Arabidopsis thaliana: one gene and its partners. The protein of the gene in region 1 purifies or fractionates together with the protein of each later gene. This does not show direct contact. Each region holds a gene or a part of one and is shown on either strand. Other genes may lie near its edges. The genes, in order: AT1G33600, scpl35, AT1G78820 and AT1G78830.

The links.
Region 2: the proteins of AT1G33600 (region 1) and scpl35 fractionate together in Arabidopsis thaliana (co-fractionation; one large-scale study listed by BioGRID). This does not show direct contact.
Region 3: the proteins of AT1G33600 (region 1) and AT1G78820 fractionate together in Arabidopsis thaliana (co-fractionation; one large-scale study listed by BioGRID). This does not show direct contact.
Region 4: the proteins of AT1G33600 (region 1) and AT1G78830 fractionate together in Arabidopsis thaliana (co-fractionation; one large-scale study listed by BioGRID). This does not show direct contact.

What each region holds. Positions count from the first base shown.
Region 1 is NC_003070.9:12,178,876-12,185,077, forward strand, and holds AT1G33600 (Leucine-rich repeat (LRR) family protein), read left to right. Parts: upstream 1-1,900; coding exon 1,901-3,337; 3' UTR 3,338-3,347; exon of another isoform or gene 3,348-3,725; intron 3,726-5,324; exon of another isoform or gene 5,325-5,332; 3' UTR 5,333-5,653; downstream 5,654-6,202. Other genes in the region: AT1G33590 (Leucine-rich repeat (LRR) family protein), read left to right, coding at 1-346.
Region 2 is NC_003076.8:2,655,241-2,661,937, forward strand, and holds scpl35 (serine carboxypeptidase-like 35), read left to right. Parts: upstream 1-1,813; 5' UTR 1,814-1,995; coding exon 1,996-2,269; intron 2,270-4,194; coding exon 4,195-4,302; intron 4,303-4,403; coding exon 4,404-4,592; intron 4,593-4,721; coding exon 4,722-4,810; intron 4,811-4,919; coding exon 4,920-5,213; intron 5,214-5,316; coding exon 5,317-5,453; intron 5,454-5,583; coding exon 5,584-5,676; intron 5,677-5,773; coding exon 5,774-6,032; 3' UTR 6,033-6,197; downstream 6,198-6,697. Other genes in the region: AT5G08250 (Cytochrome P450 superfamily protein), read right to left, coding at 1-541; AT5G08270 (C5orf35), read left to right, coding at 6,507-6,551. UniProt on the Arabidopsis thaliana protein: Probable carboxypeptidase.
Region 3 is NC_003070.9:29,633,545-29,637,497, reverse strand, and holds AT1G78820 (D-mannose binding lectin protein with Apple-like carbohydrate-binding domain-containing protein), read left to right. Parts: upstream 1-1,566; 5' UTR 1,567-1,729; coding exon 1,730-3,097; 3' UTR 3,098-3,402; downstream 3,403-3,953. Other genes in the region: AT1G78830 (Curculin-like (mannose-binding) lectin family protein), read left to right, coding at 1-357.
Region 4 is NC_003070.9:29,636,318-29,640,623, reverse strand, and holds AT1G78830 (Curculin-like (mannose-binding) lectin family protein), read left to right. Parts: upstream 1-1,850; 5' UTR 1,851-2,115; coding exon 2,116-3,483; 3' UTR 3,484-3,806; downstream 3,807-4,306. Other genes in the region: AT1G78840 (F-box/RNI-like/FBD-like domains-containing protein), read left to right, coding at 1-139, 172-714, 799-939, 1,032-1,334.

The DNA of each region.
Region 1 (6,202 bases):
AGCGCAAACATTCTACTATGATTTCATCGATCTGTCGGAAAACGAGATCACAGGGAGTCCAGCAAGGTTCTTGAACCAAACAGAGTATCTAGTGGAGTTCAAGGCAGCGGGTAACAAACTACGATTCGATATGGGGAAGCTAACGTTTGCAAAGACGCTGACAACTTTAGATATATCAAGGAACTTGGTATTTGGGAAGGTGCCGGCAATGGTGGCTGGACTAAAGACATTGAACGTGAGTCACAACCATCTTTGTGGAAAGCTTCCAGTAACAAAGTTCCCGGCCAGTGCGTTTGTGGGTAATGACTGTCTTTGCGGCTCTCCTCTTTCTCCTTGTAAAGCTTAAGCGGCAAGAAAGCTACAACTGGTAGTTGGATATTTACCGTGACCAATAAAGTTTAGCTCCAAATAAAATTTGTATTAAAAAGATTACAACAAATAAAGTAGTTTTATGTTATGAAGAAGCTTCATTCTAACAATATGTATTAGTGAAAGTACTCAAAGTAGTATTTAAGTTCTCAACTATTATGCATTTTTTATATAGCAGCTAAAATATTACTTTAACATGATAGAAAAATGATTTTAAAAAATAGAAGGAAAAACAGAGTAGTATTCTGATACAACATGCTCCAATTTATGTAACTTTTGCTTATATATTAAACTGATTATGTAGTATGCAACTCTTGGCTAATCTGTTCTCAATTCAGAATAGTCGCAACAAATGATGCAGTAAATAATCTATGTTTACTGGAATTTAACTCGCTCTATACAAAAAAAGAAAGAAAGTTATAGTGATATCTTATTTAGAACTATGCGTAATTTATTATTCTTCAGTGTTCTATAATTGGTTAACAAAAACCTAGTGATGAAAACAAGAGGAGTCCTTACTAGATAGATGCATATAACTTCATCACTACAAAATTTATTTGATCACAAATAACACATACCAAACAACAAACCAAGTAATCGATATATACTAGTATCAAACCTCTTTTTTCTCTTTACATACACATAACACAAGGTCATCCACAGGACATATAGCGTCTGCATTGAGGAATTAGACCATCTCTGAAGTAGGTTTCAACTTAGTATTGTTTTTTTTTTTGTCTAAAACACTAAAGTTCGATTAGACTAATGCATCCATATTCAATGAGACAAAGACATAGTAAACCAACCTAGAAAAATTATTCAAAAACTATACAAAAAAAGATAGTTTGAGTAATTGGTTCTTCCAAAACAAGACTAATGCATGCAGCATCTTAAAACTTCACCACCATAAACGAAAATTGAGTAATTGGTTCTTCCAAAACAAGCTAAGATTCCACTATAATTTCTTACGATAAACAAATAGATAAAGCTACTTATGTTAATGTTGGATTACGCTAAGAAAATTAAGGCATGAATCTATCGGCCCATCTCGAGGCCAACTTAGTCCACAATCTGGATCATTGTACTTAGATATATTTGACTTTTATTTTGTGGTCAATAATGTACATATTGTTAGACAAAAATAACATGTTAATAAATATTTTTTTTTTTTCAAAAATAACGTACATTTTGAGAAAACATAAATGAAATTTCTTTCCAAACTAAGTTTCATAATAGCCCAAAATATTATTTAAACATGATAGAAAACAATTGTAATTTGACAACAAAGTTCTAGAAAAATAAGATACATAAATCCTTTATCTATAATCATCAAAATATTATAAAAATCTGATGAAAGAAACTGTCTCTTTCGAGGGGTTGAGAGATAATAAATTCGACAACGATTACGGATATTACCACAACTTATTGCCACCACATGAACATGAATTGGTCAAAATCGGCAGCTCTTGATTCAACGTTTTCCTTCTATTAATAGCGACCAATTGTGTCTTTCAATCAACACAACTCAACCATGAACTCTTGTTGCTTCCCTCTCTTCATCTTTGCATTCGTTATCTTTCTCCGGTGTTTAAGTCCCATTGAAGCTGCCACGTGTCATCCTGATGACGAGGCGGGTCTTTTAGCTTTTAAATCGGGTATAACTCAAGATCCTACGGGTATTCTCAGCTCTTGGAAGAAAGGTACTGACTGCTGTTCATGGAAGGGTGTCGGTTGTCTCACCAACCGCGTCACCGGACTCACTATCAACGGACAATCTGATGTTACTGGAAGCTTTCTTTCTGGCACTATCTCGCCGTCATTGGCCAAACTCCAACACCTTGTTGGTATTTACTTCACCAATCTTCGAAACATCACTGGTTCTTTTCCTCAATTCCTTTTCCAATTACCAAATGTAAAACAAGTCTACTTCACGAATAGCCGTCTCTCCGGTCCTCTTCCAGCTAACATTGGTGCGCTAAGCGAGTTAGGAGAACTAAGTCTCGACGGAAACCTGTTTACTGGTCCGATCCCGAGTTCCATTTCCAATTTAACCCGGTTATATCTGCTCAATCTTGGAGATAATCTCTTAACCGGAACTATACCTTTAGGTCTTGCTAATCTCAAGATCTTGTTGTCACTCAACTTTGGCAACAATCGTCTCTCTGAAACCATACCGGATATTTTCAAATCCATGCAGAAGCTCCAATCTCTAACCCTCTCCCGCAACAAATTCTCTGGAAATCTTCCTCCGTCCATTGCATCACTCAAACCAATTCTCAATTACCTCGATCTAAGCCAGAATAATCTCTCTGGGACAATCCCGACCTTTTTATCAAACTTCAAGGTACTAGACTCATTGGATCTTTCTAGAAATAGGTTCTCTGGGGTTGTTCCGAAGAGTTTAGCCAATATGCCTAAACTTTTCCATCTCAATCTCTCCCACAATTTTCTAACTGGTCCACTCCCTGCCATGAAGAACGTTGATGGCCTTGCCACTCTAGATCTTTCATACAACCAATTTCACCTCAAAACGATACCGAAATGGGTGACCTCGTCGCCGTCCATGTACTCGTTGAAGCTGGTAAAATGCGGGATCAATATGAGCTTAGACAATTGGAAGCCAGTGAGACCCAATATTTACTTTTACATCGATCTGTCAGAAAACGAGATCTCAGGGAGTCTAACATGGTTCTTCAACCTAGCGCATAACCTATATGAGTTTCAAGCGTCAGGGAACAAACTTCGATTCGACATGGGGAAGCTGAATTTAAGTGAGAGACTAGAAAGCCTCGATCTATCAAGGAATTTGATATTTGGGAAGGTACCAATGACCGTGGCTAAACTGCAAAAATTGAACTTGAGTCATAACCATCTTTGTGGAAAGCTTCCAGTGACTAAATTCCCGGCCAGCGCGTTTGTCGGTAATGACTGTCTCTGCGGCTCTCCGCTTTCTCCTTGTAAAATTTAGCGGCAAAAAGGTACAATTTTGTAGTTGAGTACTGTAACACATAGCTCTGAATAAGATTTGTAATAACAAAATTAGCCTACTCGGCTACGCCATACATGGACATGATTTTTATTTTTTTTACTGGAATAGAAAATAACAAAATATTTAAGGGGAAAATCACATTTTAAACCTAACACTGAGCAGCACTTTAAACCTCAAGATATTTTCACTAGCATTATAAACCTCCAAATTAATTAAACTAACACTCTAGATCTCCAAATTAACATTTTTTGTTTGTACAGCCCTAAAAGATAACAGAACAGAACACTAACTAACAGAACATTAACAGAAGTTACAGAATAATGAACTTTTGTCAGTTAAAAGAAAAAGTAAAACATGTTTAGAAAAAATAATATTATGACCACTTACCATAATTTGTGATTTTTTTGTTTAAAAAAAACCTTATAATATTTAAGAAATTTGATAATACAGTACATAGCCATGTAAATATAAATCATGTTGATGTTTTAACAAATTATTGATCGGTTATTCTCAATTTCCAACATTAATTTGATTACTTTGTGGGCAGTCTAATCATTGGTGAGCTAAATATCTAAAATCTAGACAGACAAAATAATATCACATATAAACCAATAGTTTGATACATTCACTCTCGGTACCTACCCTACATCCAAGAAGTAATGAAGATCTTGGGAATAAATGTTCCATTAGAATCATGAAACTGGTGACTTTGTAGACAAGAAAACTAGAGTTATTTGTGTAATAATATGAAATATTAAAACTGTAGACACACTGAGATTTGCCTTATTATTCAAAGCTATAAAAACAAATGGATCTCGATGAACGCTACGGCATTCATAAGAGAGGTAGCATGCATCTTAAATGTCACTACCATAAACTGAAAACTGAACAAATCGATTTTCGAGAACAATCTAAATTTTCACTTTCTTAGTTCTTACAATAGGCAAATAGATAAAGCTACTAATGTTAGATTATGCTAAGAAAATAAAGCATAATGTTTACCTGACCATCTTGAGGCCAACTTATTTTCACTGTCTAGATCATTGCACTTAGATCGTTCTAAATCTAAACAGTCAAATCTTTCACTTCTAATTTAAGGTCAATAACGAACATTTTGTTGGACAGATTAAAATAACGTGTTGAAAAAAGTAAGACGAAAATAACGTACATAACTAGATTATAACCCGCGGTACACCGCGGAGACAATTTGTTTTTAAAATTAGTATATATAAGAGTCTGCAAATTATATTTATCTATAAAATATTTACATTTTATAGTTTACAATTGTTATTAAGTAATATCCTTCCAAACTCGTTCCACCAAACCCGTCCCGTTAAAAAAATCTGCGATACACCGCTAATTTAAATAAATATTTTACGGGATTGCAATTATATTTTAGTTTGTCAAACAAATTTTTTTTTTAAATGGTTGTCGAAATCTAGTTCAAATATTGGAGAAATAAGATTTAGTGAACTGATAGGAAATGTATTTAGGTGCGTTTTGCTCATTTTAAGGGATTGCAATTGTATTTTGGTTTGTCAAATATTTTTTGTTTTAAATAGTTTCCGAAATCTAGTTTAAATTTTGGAGAAATTTGCGTGATATATGGGATTATAATATATTTGGAATATTTTTTGTTTGTTAATCAATTTATTGCCAAAAGAAAACCAATAATTAAAAGGCAATGGCAGGTATTGTAAATAAGTTCGAACTCCAGGATTTATTTCACAAAATGGCTGCAAAAATGTATATATAGATGTTAGAGAAAAATCAAAATGGTTATTTTTCCTAACTAAATTCCATAATAAAAATAAAATTTTATTTAAATTTGATAGAAAGAAATACTAATAAGACAGTGGAAAAAAACTATATGACTTATGAGTTTTAATACAATGTAACAACAAAATTCTAGAAAAAGAAGATATGTTAAACCATTTATATAATAATCTGATGAAAGACACTGTCTCTTTCAAGGGATCCAGAGATGCTAAACTCAACAACGATCACGGATTATACCACCACGTAATGCCACCACATGCATATGACTTGGTCAAAATCGTCAGCGCTAGAGTCGATGACTTTCCTTCTATTAATAGCTACCACGAATGCTTCTCTCAATCAACAAAAACACACCATTAACTTAAGACATCAAGAAGCTCCACTACATGTAACAACGATAATCAATACGTATTATTGTATTAGTGAAAGTAGTATTTCAACCCTCCGACATTGTTTTCCATATACGCGAAATGTTACTACTAAAGTGAACGGCGAGGACTTCGGAAAAGATACTCGTATTTCCGTTTATGTATTTAACTTTTACAAAATTAACAGAAATTATCCAAATTTTCTACTTTTTTTTAAATACCCAAACTTTACAAAATACACATAACAGTTAGTCAAATTAATGAGTATAAGAATTAAATTTACTTACCTGGATTTTCTGATCCCGCGTGACCAGAATTTCTTGAACCGGTCCCTCGATCCAAAAATCCCGTCTGATTTTATCGGATATAATTAGTCAAGTCAGTCCATCGTCTGGATTAAGTCTGGACATAATAAGTGAACCGAAAGAATTGAACTGGAACCGAAGAAAAAAGAACCAAACTGAACTCAGACCAATTGTAAAATATTCAAATAGGTCCAAAATTCTAGAACCGAAAAAGATTATAATCAAACCCGAACCAAACCAAAATATTTTGGATACTCAAAAATATCCAATTATATATCCAAAATATTAGTTATTTTTAGATCGAATAACCAAACATATACAAAATACCAAAATATACTTGGAAAATATATTTACAAATATCAAAATATTTGAAAATACTAGAAAATATCTTA
Region 2 (6,697 bases), on another chromosome or scaffold:
GCAATGATTGACTGGTTAATTGTCTGAATTTAGCCGAATGGAATTCGACACTTGCTGCTTTCCTTTGTCGTTGCCACGTTCCGTCATCGGTGTTGAAAATCCCGTCTCCGAGTAGATCTTGCATGGTCTCACGGAAGTAAGAACCCTTTGGGTAGATAGAGAAACGGGTCTTGAGAAGATGCTCAACGTTTCTTGGGTCGCAGGTAACAACGCAGTTGAGGGTGCTAAACCAAGGACCTCTAAACCGGAATGTCCCGTTTTGGCTGATAAGAACATCAGACAGCCATTCGTATATGTTGCTTCGTACCGCGGATATCAACGAAGGAAGCATGCCAACCAACGGCCAAACGGGCATCCCTTGGTGTTTCTTCTGGCGCAAGGAATGTATTGTCGCAAACACGAAAAAGGCAATAAAGAGCTCAAGAATCTGAACATCTCTCAGGGAAAACAGCCTCCTTGAAACCAGAAGTTCGTCGCTTCCGAAACAAGAAGAGGACACGGCAGTAGCCGTGAGATTATAAGAAGAAAAACTAAGATTCATAGTGACAAAGAAGGAACAAAGAAACAGAGTGTGTATAATTTTTTTGCAGAGAGAAAGAGAAAGAGAGATAAGAAATAATGAAGTTGTTAGTTAATTTAGTAGGTGAAGAATGTGAAATGAGGGAAGAAGGATTTAAGACGCATAAGTTTCGTGTTTGGCTCTCAATGTGAAATTGGGTTTGATTTGGTGAGCTAAAAAAAGTTCGTTGCTCTTTTCTAACGGTCTTTTAAATTTGTGTGGCTCTTTATTCTCGTGTTTTGCTATGTTTTCGTTTTGGTCTTTTGAAAGGACGAATCTTTTGGAGGGGATTAACTAGAAAATTAGGAAAATTAGAATTAGGGTTTTAGACTTGAGGATTGTTGATAAAAGAGAAATTGACAGGTGGGTAGTGACGGATCACCTAAGTTCTTGTTTATTTGTTATACACTTTATTTTATTTTGTCAAACAACTTGTTTAATTTATACGTGTGGAAATTGGAATTGGAAGAATATTAATAGTGAGTAATTCAAATAAACAGAATTTTTTTGGATACTACTGTACTATTTTAAACCTGGCGGTGAAGCCGTTGTTGTTTGAATTTAGGTTATCTGCATATATCTGGTGAATAATTGTTTTCGAACAATTTGGGCTTAGAAAACATATGGGCCTATCAATAAAGTATCGGGCCTTTGATATATATAAAATTTCATTAACCTCATTATTAATGTATTTTGGGCCTTACAGGCCCTCTGGCCTCTTCTAGGTGACTATAGCATCAATAAATGATTCTCATTAAGCCGCCAATTTCTCTGGCCTCTTCTAGGTGACTATAGCATCAATAAATTATTCCCGAGACAATTGCGAATAAACCACTTTCTTTGGAAATTATCATTGAGATCAACATAAAACATAAGCTTTGTTTATATGACAATGCTGTTGTTTTAAAGCTCTACGGTAGTACTACACATGTAATTTAATGAATTTTAATTGATTTCTAAACAGTACGAGCAATTTGTGTGTTGAATTCAACTTTGATTATATGGTTTATAAAACCTTGTTTTGGGAGATGAAATTCTGAATTAAGAAAAATAAAGAAGAAAGCATTTAATTTGCCGATGGCTCCATCTCCATAGCCATGTGGTTCAGTCTCCGATGATGACATCTCAAGCGTTGAAATTCAATTCCATCTTTCTGTAAAAGGTGAGAAAATTGGTAGTGAACCAACCATGTTATCGGAGACCGTGGAGGCACATTACAAGGAAATGATTATGAAATGTGTTTATTGTTATAACATTTTCACGTGAGTATCAAAAAAAAAATCTCATGAAAAATAAAAGACTTTTAAAGTTTTTTTTAATATAAAAAAAGACAGTATAAAGTAGAAGAAGTGGGGGCGTTTTCTCATCTGCTCTTCATTTCGATAAATAATTGAAAAGAACAAAAGAAACAAAAGAGACGAGAAAGAGTTTTGGCGATGAAGAAGAACGCACTTTGGCTACTGTGCATTCTGGTGTTACCGGCGATAGCCTGTGGTAGGAAACCGGAGAAGAAGGTAACAATTTCATCCTCTGGGAGGAAGGAAGATGACCTTGTAACCGGTTTGCCCGGCCAACCACCGGTTAACTTCAAACACTACGCCGGTTACGTGAATCTGGGGCCTGAACAGAAGCAAAAGGCACTTTTCTATTGGTTCTTCGAAGCTCAACAAAACTCTTCTCGTCGTCCTCTCGTCCTTTGGCTCAATGGAGGTCAGTTTCTCTTCCTCTCTCGCTCATTTACATAAAGTATATTTTATTTGAAGTAGTAATACAAACTTATCATTGTTCTCAATTGGAATTTTCATTCGAAACTTCATTGTTTCTGCGGTTTTACAAATATGTTTACCAATTTTAAAATGATAGCACCTTTTTTGAAACGGATGATGTGATGATTATGTTTGCAATAAAAAAATCAGTGTAATGAAAGATTAATGAACTCTCAAGCTCGTGCCTCGTGGGCCATGGTAATTAGGTTAATACATATGTCTAATCACACCATCACGTATTGACCACAAAACTCTGTGCCTGCAGGCCGTGATGTTGGGAAAATAATAGATAAAACTTGCACGAAAAAGAAAAAGAAAAAACACTAAACATAGAGAAATGTTTTCGGCAGTTGTATTTTCTTGGATACATAATTGAATTTGGACTAAAATTTTAATTATTTATATAGCTAACTCTTAGAAAACATCAAGTTGTGTACATTGTCCTACCAAACTCCATCGTCTGTCTCCTTACCCTGCCTTGTAACTTGCCAAGCAGTTCCTTTCGTTTCAGTAACAATAAAATTTTACTGTAATTGTATCGCAACGAGATAGTAAAGGGTCGTTTCGATGCAGTTGTTTTTGTTTTAAATTTTCCAAAAATTACAAGTCTATCAAATAGCCAAAACTTAAAGTAGTCTATTGTTTGTACAGTTATATATCGCTATTCTTAATAATCTGTAACTTATAGATGCCGTGTATGGCTTGATAAAAATAGCCAGAAACACCATTAAGTGATACACTGATACTATTCAACATTTTTGTTCCTTACTATTGCTTGATGGAGAAGTGATAACAAATCTGATACAGTTGGGAATGCCGACAAATTTTAATTGCCTACTTTAATAATATTTCGTTTTGTGGAACGCACTTCAACAATCTGTAGTCTGTATACGGTGGAACGAGTAGGTTCTTGCCTCTTCGGGACAAATATAGTCCAGTCCTCGTTTTCTTAACGTGAAATCTCAAAACCATAGCTTAAAACAAGTTGTATTTGAAAATGAGCTTCGATCTAATTAAGTGAACAAAAGTTATTCACAAAAATTAAAATTAACCTGTTTAAATACATCATATTTTTTCGTGAAGATTCAGTGAAATAAAACACTATACTATAACCCAACAACATATTTGGAAAAAATATCAACGAAGTCGTATATGGTCCGGCTCTCTGACAGATATTGGACTTGTATCATTCAATCAGTGTCCTTTTTGTGTAACATTCAATGTCCAAATCTTGTTTCTAGAGTGAGTAAAGATCTTTTGTCTGTTTCTTCTTTTTCTCTCGGTAGTTGTACATTCAATTTAACGAATTTACTTTATACGGTTTGTCTTTTTTCCCACACGGTTCATTCCAATATTAGGATATTTAGGGATACGAGAAATATCAACCTAGTCTTTTTTATTGGGGCTAGAAATCGGATAAGATGTTGAATATTCAATTATACACTTAGAAATAAACAAAAAGCTATGTCTAATAATAATGTGGAGTTGTGTACATGTCTAGTTTGAACAGAAAGATTGAAATTTGTTAATAATGAGGTATTACCTTTATAGGATTTGCGTGATTGAAGGGTACACACGAATCCAATGTAATCAAGAGCAATAGCAAAATCTTTAGTTATTTAATTTCTGTATACGAAAATGATATTTGAATCTTGATAGACAACTCGGGACAAAATACTGACGTCTAGCTAGCTAGTCTCATTAATTTTATTTTTTCTCGACAAATTTAGTTGTTTAGTTTTGGATTTTCTTGACAAATCTAGCGATGGAATTGAAAATAGCAATTTTCTTTAGTGAATTGTATTATTACATATTTGGTGAAACTCTTAAATTATTTTCATCAGTTTAACTAAAATCCAAAATATGCAGGACCGGGTTGCTCATCAATAGCCTATGGAGCTGCACAAGAACTAGGCCCTTTTCTTGTTCACGACAACGGTGGCAAACTTACCTACAATCATTTCTCTTGGAACAAAGGTAAAATGAATTATTACCATACTATCAGAAACATTTGAATTCTTTAGCTAACATGTATACTAATATTAACCGTGGTTACATTAAAAAAAATGTTTGTGCAGAGGCCAATATGTTGTTCTTGGAAGCGCCGGTTGGGGTTGGGTTCTCGTATACCAATAACTCAATGGATCTTCAAAAGCTTGGAGATGAAGTTACTGCATCGGACTCTCTTGCTTTCCTGATCAACTGGTTCATGAAATTCCCCGAGTTCCGATCCAGCGAGTTCTACATCTCTGGCGAGAGTTACGCCGGTAAGTGCTTTATCCGATTTTAATTCTTGATTTATGAATTATATCACCTAATATAAAAGAATTAATCTTGTATATTAATATTATATAAAACAAAGATTGAATCACATGCTTTTGATCTTCTTTTCTCAGGTCACTATGTTCCTCAGCTCGCGGAGGTAATTTACGACAGGAACAAGAAGGTTACGAAAGACTCTAGCATTAATCTCAAGGGATTCATGGTATGCACTCTATATATATGTATACTACTAGTAAGGTTACTTGCGAAACGAGGAAGCAACGTTTCTTGTGCTATAAGTAAACATAAAAGGTATTCGTTTGATGTTGCAGATAGGGAACGCGGTGATCAATGAGGCAACAGACATGGCAGGACTAGTGGACTACGCATGGAGCCACGCTATAATATCGGACGAGGTCCACACCAGCATCCATGGCTCGTGCAGTTTTGAGGAAGATACCACCAACAAGACCGAACAATGCTACAACAATTTCAAAGGGTTCATGGATGCTTACAATGATATCGATATATACAGTATCTACACTCCCGTTTGCCTCTCCTCTTTGTTGTCATCTTCTCCAAGAAAACCTAAAATCGTCGTGTCTCCTCGTCTCCTTACTTTTGACGTACGTAATCTACAATACAATATAGTATCATTGTAACATAATGTAATTACCATAATCTCTCTTCTTACTTTTTCTTACCAATTCTTCTCTTTTGATGGTTTAGGATTTGTGGGACAAGTTTCCGGCCGGGTACGATCCATGCACTGAAAGTTATGCCGAGAATTACTTTAACCGGAAAGATGTGCAGGTTGCACTCCATGCGAACGTCACCAACCTTCCTTATCCGTACTCTCCTTGCAGGTTAGTCCTCCTTACGTTACGTGGTACTAACTAAAATTAATAGCTAGCTAGAGACTTTGTATGTTAAGTTTAATGTCATGTTTCTAATGAACAAAGTATATATATATATGATCTTGTGGGTGTGATTCAGCGGAGTAATAAAGAGATGGAGTGATGCTCCATCCACCATGATTCCCATCATACAAAAGCTTTTGACGGGTGGCCTCCGTATCTGGATCTATAGGTATCTATATCTTTCTTTAACTGTTTTAAAAATTACGTGAAAAATTCATATATATTGTCAATTAGTTTAATGTTCACTGGTTCAATGTTGGCTATAGTGGAGATACGGATGGGAGAGTTCCGGTAACATCTACACGTTATAGCATAAAAAAGATGGGACTTAAGGTCGAGTCACCGTGGAGGTCATGGTTCCACAAGAGTCAAGTAGCTGGATGGGTTGAGACTTATGCCGGTGGACTAAATTTTGTCACGGTGAGAGGAGCCGGTCACCAGGTTCCGGCCTTGGCTCCGGCGCAATCTCTCACATTATTCTCTCACTTCATTTCTTCTGTCCCCTTGCCTTCAAAACGGTTCTGATATCAGTACCGTCAAGTCATGATGGCAAGTTGTTGTTGTTGTTTTGGAACCTTCGTTTAGCACTCTCCCAATTGATTTTATGAATTTCAATTGATGAATAAAGATTCTTCAACTTTTAGTTATATAATAAGGCTTTTACCTTTCTACGCACGTTTTTCGTTGTTTAATAATTTCCAGTATTTCAATTTTCAATAATCAACAAATCAGTAGTCTACTTCATTAATTTTGGAACTCAATGAAAATTTTCAAATTAATTTTAATATGAATGAAATAAATTAGGGGGAGACGGCCCTTAAGGCCCATTATAAATTTAGAGGGCCATTAAGGCCCATTAACACAAATTAAACCCAGTCATGGAGCTGAGGCAGTAGCGTTCGTTTTTTTGGAATCAATCACCGAAAGAGATCTTTCAACTGAAGCACCTGCGATTCATCTTCTTCTCTGCCCGTCGTTTCAACGTGAGGAGAAAAAAGAATGGCGTTTGCAAAAATGATGTTTCTTTTCGGAAAATTTCAGCAGGTGAATATATGAAGTTCTTATCTTCTAATCTGACTTATTTTTGAAACTTCCTCTCTGGTACGTGTTTTTTGATGTTGGGTATGAAGAAAGTTCGAGGCTTTTCAAAGGATTTAGTCTTCACTGTAATATGATTCCTGTGACTATAT
Region 3 (3,953 bases), about 17 Mb from region 1:
TGCGGCGATTACGGTTACTGCGATCGTGGGATGTGCAACGCGTGTCCTACACCAAAAGGATTACTCGGATGGAGTGATAAATGCGCACCACCTAAAACGACGCAGTTTTGCAGCGGAGTCAAGGGTAAAACTGTCAATTATTATAAGATAGTCGGTGTTGAGCATTTTACTGGGCCTTATGTTAATGATGGACAAGGCCCAACTTCTGTGAACGATTGCAAGGCCAAGTGCGATCGTGATTGCAAGTGTTTGGGTTACTTCTACAAAGAGAAAGACAAGAAATGTTTGCTTGCTCCTCTGCTTGGTACACTTATCAAAGATGCCAACACTTCTTCTGTTGCTTACATCAAATATTAGTGTTTTTTTGGGAAAGTTATTTACCGAATTCTTTTTGAATTCTTAGAGATTTAATGAATAATCGGTGTGCTTGTAATGATCCACCGTTGAATATATTGTATTACCTTAAAAAAAAGCCATCAGATGTATTTACTATATATATATAGTACCTTTGAGAATCAAAATACCATGTGAAGCATTATCATTATTTTGTTGCCTCTGACAAGAGTTTTGTAGTCCACTGGTCCTCCACTTGGAATACCGCTCACTTGGTTCTTAATTCAATTGACTACTGAGGTTTGTAGATGGTCGTTGGGACTCATACTGTCAAAAGAACAGCAAAAATTTTGTCACTTCTCCAACTCATTGGGCCTTTAGGCTTTGTCATAGCCCAATAATTCTATCTTAATCGGACAAACCGTGTGGTCCACTTCCCTTCGTACATATTTTTTACAAGTTTTGTGGTCTTACTTTTTACTTTTTAGCATTACATGGGATAAAAAGTGAAAGCTTGCCCAGCAGCTATGCATCCATCAACCATCAAAATCTGACTCACAGTACTGTTTTGGATGTCTGAACTTACATAAAAGATTCGATCATCACAAGATGATTATTGTGAGTTTTAATTTTTTTACTGTTAAAGCTGGCGGAGATGTTTTTATATCTGTTAGCATTATCTCGGAAATTTGTATATATATATACGACAGTCTAGTGGCGGGTCAGATAAAGGTGGAATGTGTAGTCTAGACTTTAGAATATATAAAATTACTTTATGAAGTATATTTACATACAAGACGGTAAAATCGAGAAATTTATATAGCTAGTTTGGGAAGTGTGGGTACTTAGTTATCCAAATATTCACTAATTTGAGTAGAGATCAAAATGGTGATCGGGTAGATTGCAATCTTGAAAGGATTTTTAGATATATTTTTACAGTTTAAAGTATTTAAACGAGTACATTCTATATTTAAAAACAAGTGTTTAAAGTATGAATCCGATTGGAGAATCTAAATTTTCTTTTGTCAAAAACGATGGTCAACTTTGTCTGAACAATTTTCATGAGATTAGTTATACAAAATTTGTGTAATAAAAACGGATTAACAACAATATATATAATTAGTGTTTTACTCACAACTTTTGTATATACGATAATTTTCGAAAATTCTCAGTAGACATATCTTATCCAAATCATAAATGAGCCATTGGTTGATCTGTATAACGAAGACACGATTTGCAGCTTAGGACCATTCAAAAAAAAAAAAAAAAAAAACTTAGGACTTTCAAACGAATACAGCCCAACGACCCAAAGTTAAGATCTTATATATACACCTAAAGGATATAGAAAATCATCTCACTCTACTACTCAATCTCAGTAAACATAAAGAACACAACCATGCTTAGGTTTGATTACTTACTAATCACGGCACTTGCCATTTCAACTGTTTCGGTTGTCATGGCCCAAGTCCCTCCCGAGAAACAATTCAGAGTGCTCAACGAACCCGGCTACGCCCCATACATCACCGAGTACGACGCGAGTTACCGATTCCTCAACTCACCGAATCAGAATTTCTTCACAATTCCTTTCCAGCTCATGTTTTACAATACAACTCCTAGCGCCTACGTGTTAGCTCTCCGAGTCGGAACGAGGCGTGACATGAGTTTCACGCGTTGGATCTGGGACGCCAATCGCAACAACCCCGTCGGAGACAACTCCACACTCTCATTCGGCCGAAACGGAAACCTTGTGCTCGCTGAGTTAAACGGCCAAGTCAAGTGGCAGACTAACACAGCCAACAAAGGCGTCACCGGATTCCAAATCTTGCCCAATGGAAACATGGTGCTACACGACAAACATGGAAAATTCGTTTGGCAGAGTTTCGATCATCCCACCGATACACTCCTCGTCGGCCAATCCCTAAAAGTTAACGGAGTTAACAAACTCGTTAGCCGTACATCTGATATGAACGGCTCCGATGGTCCGTACAGCATGGTGTTGGACAACAAAGGCTTAACCATGTACGTTAACAAAACCGGTACGCCGTTAGTTTACGGGGGATGGACGGATCACGACTTCCGCGGTACCGTCACGTTCGCCGTTACAAGAGAGTTCGATAATTTAACGGAGCCGTCAGCTTACGAGCTTCTCTTAGAACCCGCACCACAACCCGCTACGAACCCGGGTAATAACCGCCGGTTACTCCAAGTTAGACCAATCGGAAGCGGAGGAGGAACTTTAAACTTAAACAAAATCAACTACAATGGAACGATATCGTATCTGAGACTTGGATCCGACGGTAGCCTCAAGGCCTTCTCGTATTTCCCTGCCGCGACGTATCTCGAATGGGAAGAGACTTTCGCTTTCTTCTCCAATTACTTCGTCCGTCAATGCGGTTTGCCGACGTTTTGCGGCGATTACGGTTACTGCGATCGAGGAATGTGCGTCGGGTGCCCTACACCGAAAGGTCTGTTAGCTTGGAGTGATAAATGCGCTCCACCTAAAACGACGCAGTTTTGCAGCGGAGGCAAGGGTAAAGCTGTCAATTATTACAAGATAGTCGGTGTTGAGCATTTTACTGGGCCGTATGTTAATGATGGACAAGGCCCAACTTCTGTGAACGATTGCAAGGCTAAGTGCGATCGTGATTGCAAGTGTTTGGGTTACTTCTACAAGGAGAAGGACAAGAAATGTTTGCTTGCTCCTCTTCTTGGTACACTTATCAAAGATGCCAACACTTCTTCCGTTGCTTACATCAAATATTAGCGAGATTTATAAACCGAAACCAACGTGAATTCTCATAGATTTAATGAATAATTGGTGTTGTTATAATGCTTCACCGTTTTTGTTTTCGTAGACTCGCGTATTATGCTCAGTCCTAGTCAAGTATGATATTATCAAAATAAAAATGGATGATATTGATGTTCTTCAGATTATCAAAATTGAAATTAATAGTCGATCATTATAATGCGTCCTTTATACAATATTCAATTAATGCTTTTGTTTTGTATAAATAACAATGAGACAACTCGATATTGTTGCACATTTCATAATTTTCTGTTGGTTAATGATTATGCCGTGGGACCATTTTTTCTATGCATACGACTGATTACTGAGATTTTTCTTTTCTTGGTTGAATGAGTATCTGCAGGAAAATTAAAAACTCAAATTTATAAAAAATTAGGAAGAATCATATCCTAGGAGAGTAGGTAGGTAATTGTTGTTTTAAATATAAACAAAGGGAATACTTCTTTTAACCACAAAAGTTATGCTATCATTTTAGAAAGAAAAAACTATTCAACCAACCCTTGAATAATGGATATTCACCTAGTTTATTAGAAATTTTCTAGTAACGATTGGTCAGTGCCTCAGTGGCAGCCAAAAAGGAATATCCTTAATCTTATTTAATTTTGACAACAAATATTTAATACACTCCAATAACATTAGAATTCTGTAGATGACAAAACTTTAAATAAGTAAATGCAAGCGTCCATCGCGGATCTTTGGGATTGGGACCTCCATAGATTTATTTGTCTGGTTCTATTTGAGAGAATCATATTTACAAAATTTAAGGTCCATTGGGCTTTATTTATGGGCCTATTAATTATCGATTTATCCACAT
Region 4 (4,306 bases), about 17 Mb from region 1:
CAGGTTTCTAGATTTGGATAAGAAATCACTCATATACCAATTGAAGTTGGAATTTGACGGCAGGAAGTATGAGACTGAAGGATCCCTTTTCAACAAGTGGGTCGACTCAGTGGTTACCCGTGGAGTTCAGCATCTTGTGGTTGTTGCTAAAATATTTGGTTCTTGCATAAGAACAATTATTGTCCCATAAAACTTCCGGGAAGCATTTCTATGTGTGAAACATTGGTACACTTGAAGCTGGTCGAGGTAGGCATTGATAGTTTTGACTCCGTTTCTCTACCTCGTCTTGAGACTATGCATTTACTATCGGTTTGGTTTTCGAGCGAAGCGGCTCTAGAGAGGCTTATCTCATCCTCCCCAGTTCTTCAAGTTTTGTACATTGAAAAAGTTTGGAATGTGGAAGTTATACGAGTGCGGTCTCAGACACTATATAGCTTGAGAATGCGTATTTGGAAAAGAGATTTAGATTGGAACAAAGATTTAACAAAAATTGGGCTAGTGATTGATGCTCCTAGGCTTAAGTCTCTGAATCTTCAAATCCACCGGTTTAAAGACCTTGTGCTGAATAGTGTATGTTCTCCGCTCAAAGTGGATATTAGTATCTCTAAAGGAGAGTTTAATCCTATTAACTCATTGACGATGAAAACATTGCGTACATTTATTGCTTGGATATCAAATGTCACAAATCTTGCACTCAATTACTGTTGTCTAGAGGTATGTATATTTTTGTAACTATTCATCCTGAATTAATCTGTCTCGAAAACTTATTACTAATTTATTCTTCTTGGTTTTTGCTAGGCTATGTATGCTTACTCTAGCTCGGAACCATTGCCTCAGTTCTCTAACTTAACCCATTTGGAAGTTTCGATGGACTCCTCTTGTTTAAAGTTGTTACCAACGTTTCTCGCAAGCTGTCCAAACCTAAAATCTCTAGAGTTGGTAATTTTATTTTTATAAGTAACTCTTGAATTACTTAACTAAACTATACATTCTCATTACGTTTTTCGTTTCTTGTCCTTGATATTATGTAGTGGGTTCACGATCATCGTCTAGATATATTGGATATCTCAAGATCAACTATGCCTAAGTGTCTGCTAATATCGCTCAAGTTTGTTACGATATACAGCACAGCTATGATATCCAGCTCGGTTGAGAATCAGGTCGAAACCGAGCTTGTCAAATACATCCTGGGGAATGCAGCAGTTGTCAAGGAGCTTACTCTTCGATTCATTTTATGGGCAGAAGAACACAGGTTTCAACTTAGCAAGCAAATCCTTGCGTTTCCAAAGCTTTCTTCTGCTTGTCAAGTCTTTCTTCATTCGTCGTTTTTTTGAACTTGTTGTGAGGATCAAGCACAAGTGTAAACGTTATGCTTCTTAGGTGTTTTTAGTTTCCACACTTGTTCCGGTTAGACATCGTAATTTTTAAAAATTTTAAGATTTATGTGATTGGTAAATTCAAGATGCCGCAATATTATTGATATCGTAGATATCTTTGTCAGCCATTATTTGTTTGGGTTTCGTTTGGTGCACATGTAAAGAATAAGATACATGGATCTCTGCTACCCATAGATACGTGTACTTAAACTTTTAAATGAAAAAGCCAAATCTTGGCCCCTCGCAGTGGCATCTAAGAAAAATCCACAACTACATTTTTTCTTCAAAACTTAACTAAACTCACAGCTTCAAGTCTATTTTACCAAGACGGTGCTGTGATATTTTACCAATCCTCATTATCCTCTCATAGGCAGAAAATCCGGTTTCAAGTCTTCTAGAAAATGATAGTATTAAGATAAATGCATAAAAGGATTAATCATTTTCTTTCGACAAGAAAATAAATTATATGATATTCAGAAAGCAAAATAGTTATGACGAATATTCGATAATCTGCACTAGACAAACCTTATCCAAATCATAAGTCGCCATCGGCTCCATTGTACAGCACCAATTTGCTTGATCTCTTCTTCTTTAATTAGTCAAGTCGCAATTAGCAACTTTGACTTTTCAAACGAATACGGCCAATATTACAAAGCTAAACAACTTATATATACCACAACACAAGATACATCTTCTACATAATCATCTCACTCCTTTACTCACACAAGAAAACAAAATCATGTCTCGATTTGCTATCTTAGTAACCTTGGCACTTGCCATTGCCACTGTTTCGGTGGTTATAGCTCAAGTCCCTCCGGAGAAACAATTCAGAGTCGTCAACGAAGGAGAATTCGGTGAATACATCACTGAGTACGACGCAAGTTACAGATTCATCGAATCATCAAACCAGAGCTTCTTCACATCACCATTCCAGCTCTTGTTTTACAACACTACCCCTAGCGCCTACATCTTAGCTCTCCGAGTCGGACTCAGGCGTGACGAGTCTACCATGCGTTGGATATGGGACGCGAATCGCAACAACCCCGTCGGAGAAAACGCTACACTCTCACTCGGCCGTAACGGCAACCTCGTCCTCGCTGAAGCTGACGGACGAGTCAAATGGCAGACTAACACAGCTAACAAAGGCGTCACCGGATTCCAAATCTTACCCAACGGAAACATCGTCCTACACGACAAAAACGGCAAATTCGTATGGCAGAGTTTCGATCACCCCACCGATACACTCCTCACCGGCCAATCGTTAAAAGTTAACGGAGTCAACAAACTCGTTAGCCGTACATCTGATTCGAACGGCTCAGATGGTCCGTACAGCATGGTGCTGGACAAAAAAGGTTTAACCATGTACGTTAACAAAACCGGTACGCCGTTAGTTTACGGCGGATGGCCGGATCACGATTTCCGCGGCACCGTCACTTTCGCCGTTACAAGAGAATTCGATAATTTAACGGAGCCGTCAGCTTACGAGCTTCTCTTAGAACCCGCACCACAACCCGCTACGAACCCGGGTAATAACCGCCGGTTACTCCAAGTCAGACCAATCGGAAGCGGAGGAGGAACTTTAAATCTGAACAAAATCAATTACAACGGAACGATTTCGTATCTAAGACTCGGATCTGACGGGAGTCTCAAGGCTTACTCGTATTTCCCAGCAGCTACGTATCTCAAATGGGAAGAGAGTTTCTCATTCTTCTCCACTTACTTCGTCCGTCAATGTGGCTTGCCGTCGTTTTGCGGCGATTACGGTTACTGCGATCGTGGGATGTGCAACGCGTGTCCTACACCAAAAGGATTACTCGGATGGAGTGATAAATGCGCACCACCTAAAACGACGCAGTTTTGCAGCGGAGTCAAGGGTAAAACTGTCAATTATTATAAGATAGTCGGTGTTGAGCATTTTACTGGGCCTTATGTTAATGATGGACAAGGCCCAACTTCTGTGAACGATTGCAAGGCCAAGTGCGATCGTGATTGCAAGTGTTTGGGTTACTTCTACAAAGAGAAAGACAAGAAATGTTTGCTTGCTCCTCTGCTTGGTACACTTATCAAAGATGCCAACACTTCTTCTGTTGCTTACATCAAATATTAGTGTTTTTTTGGGAAAGTTATTTACCGAATTCTTTTTGAATTCTTAGAGATTTAATGAATAATCGGTGTGCTTGTAATGATCCACCGTTGAATATATTGTATTACCTTAAAAAAAAGCCATCAGATGTATTTACTATATATATATAGTACCTTTGAGAATCAAAATACCATGTGAAGCATTATCATTATTTTGTTGCCTCTGACAAGAGTTTTGTAGTCCACTGGTCCTCCACTTGGAATACCGCTCACTTGGTTCTTAATTCAATTGACTACTGAGGTTTGTAGATGGTCGTTGGGACTCATACTGTCAAAAGAACAGCAAAAATTTTGTCACTTCTCCAACTCATTGGGCCTTTAGGCTTTGTCATAGCCCAATAATTCTATCTTAATCGGACAAACCGTGTGGTCCACTTCCCTTCGTACATATTTTTTACAAGTTTTGTGGTCTTACTTTTTACTTTTTAGCATTACATGGGATAAAAAGTGAAAGCTTGCCCAGCAGCTATGCATCCATCAACCATCAAAATCTGACTCACAGTACTGTTTTGGATGTCTGAACTTACATAAAAGATTCGATCATCACAAGATGATTATTGTGAGTTTTAATTTTTTTACTGTTAAAGCTGGCGGAGATGTTTTTATATCTGTTAGCATTATCTCGGAAATTTGTATATATATATACGACAGTCTAGTGGCGGGTCAGATAAAGGTGGAATGTGTAGTCTAGACTTTAGAATATATAAAATTACTTTATGAAGTATATTTACATACAAGACGGTAAAATCGAGAAATTTATATAGCTAGTTTGGGAAGTGTGGGTACTT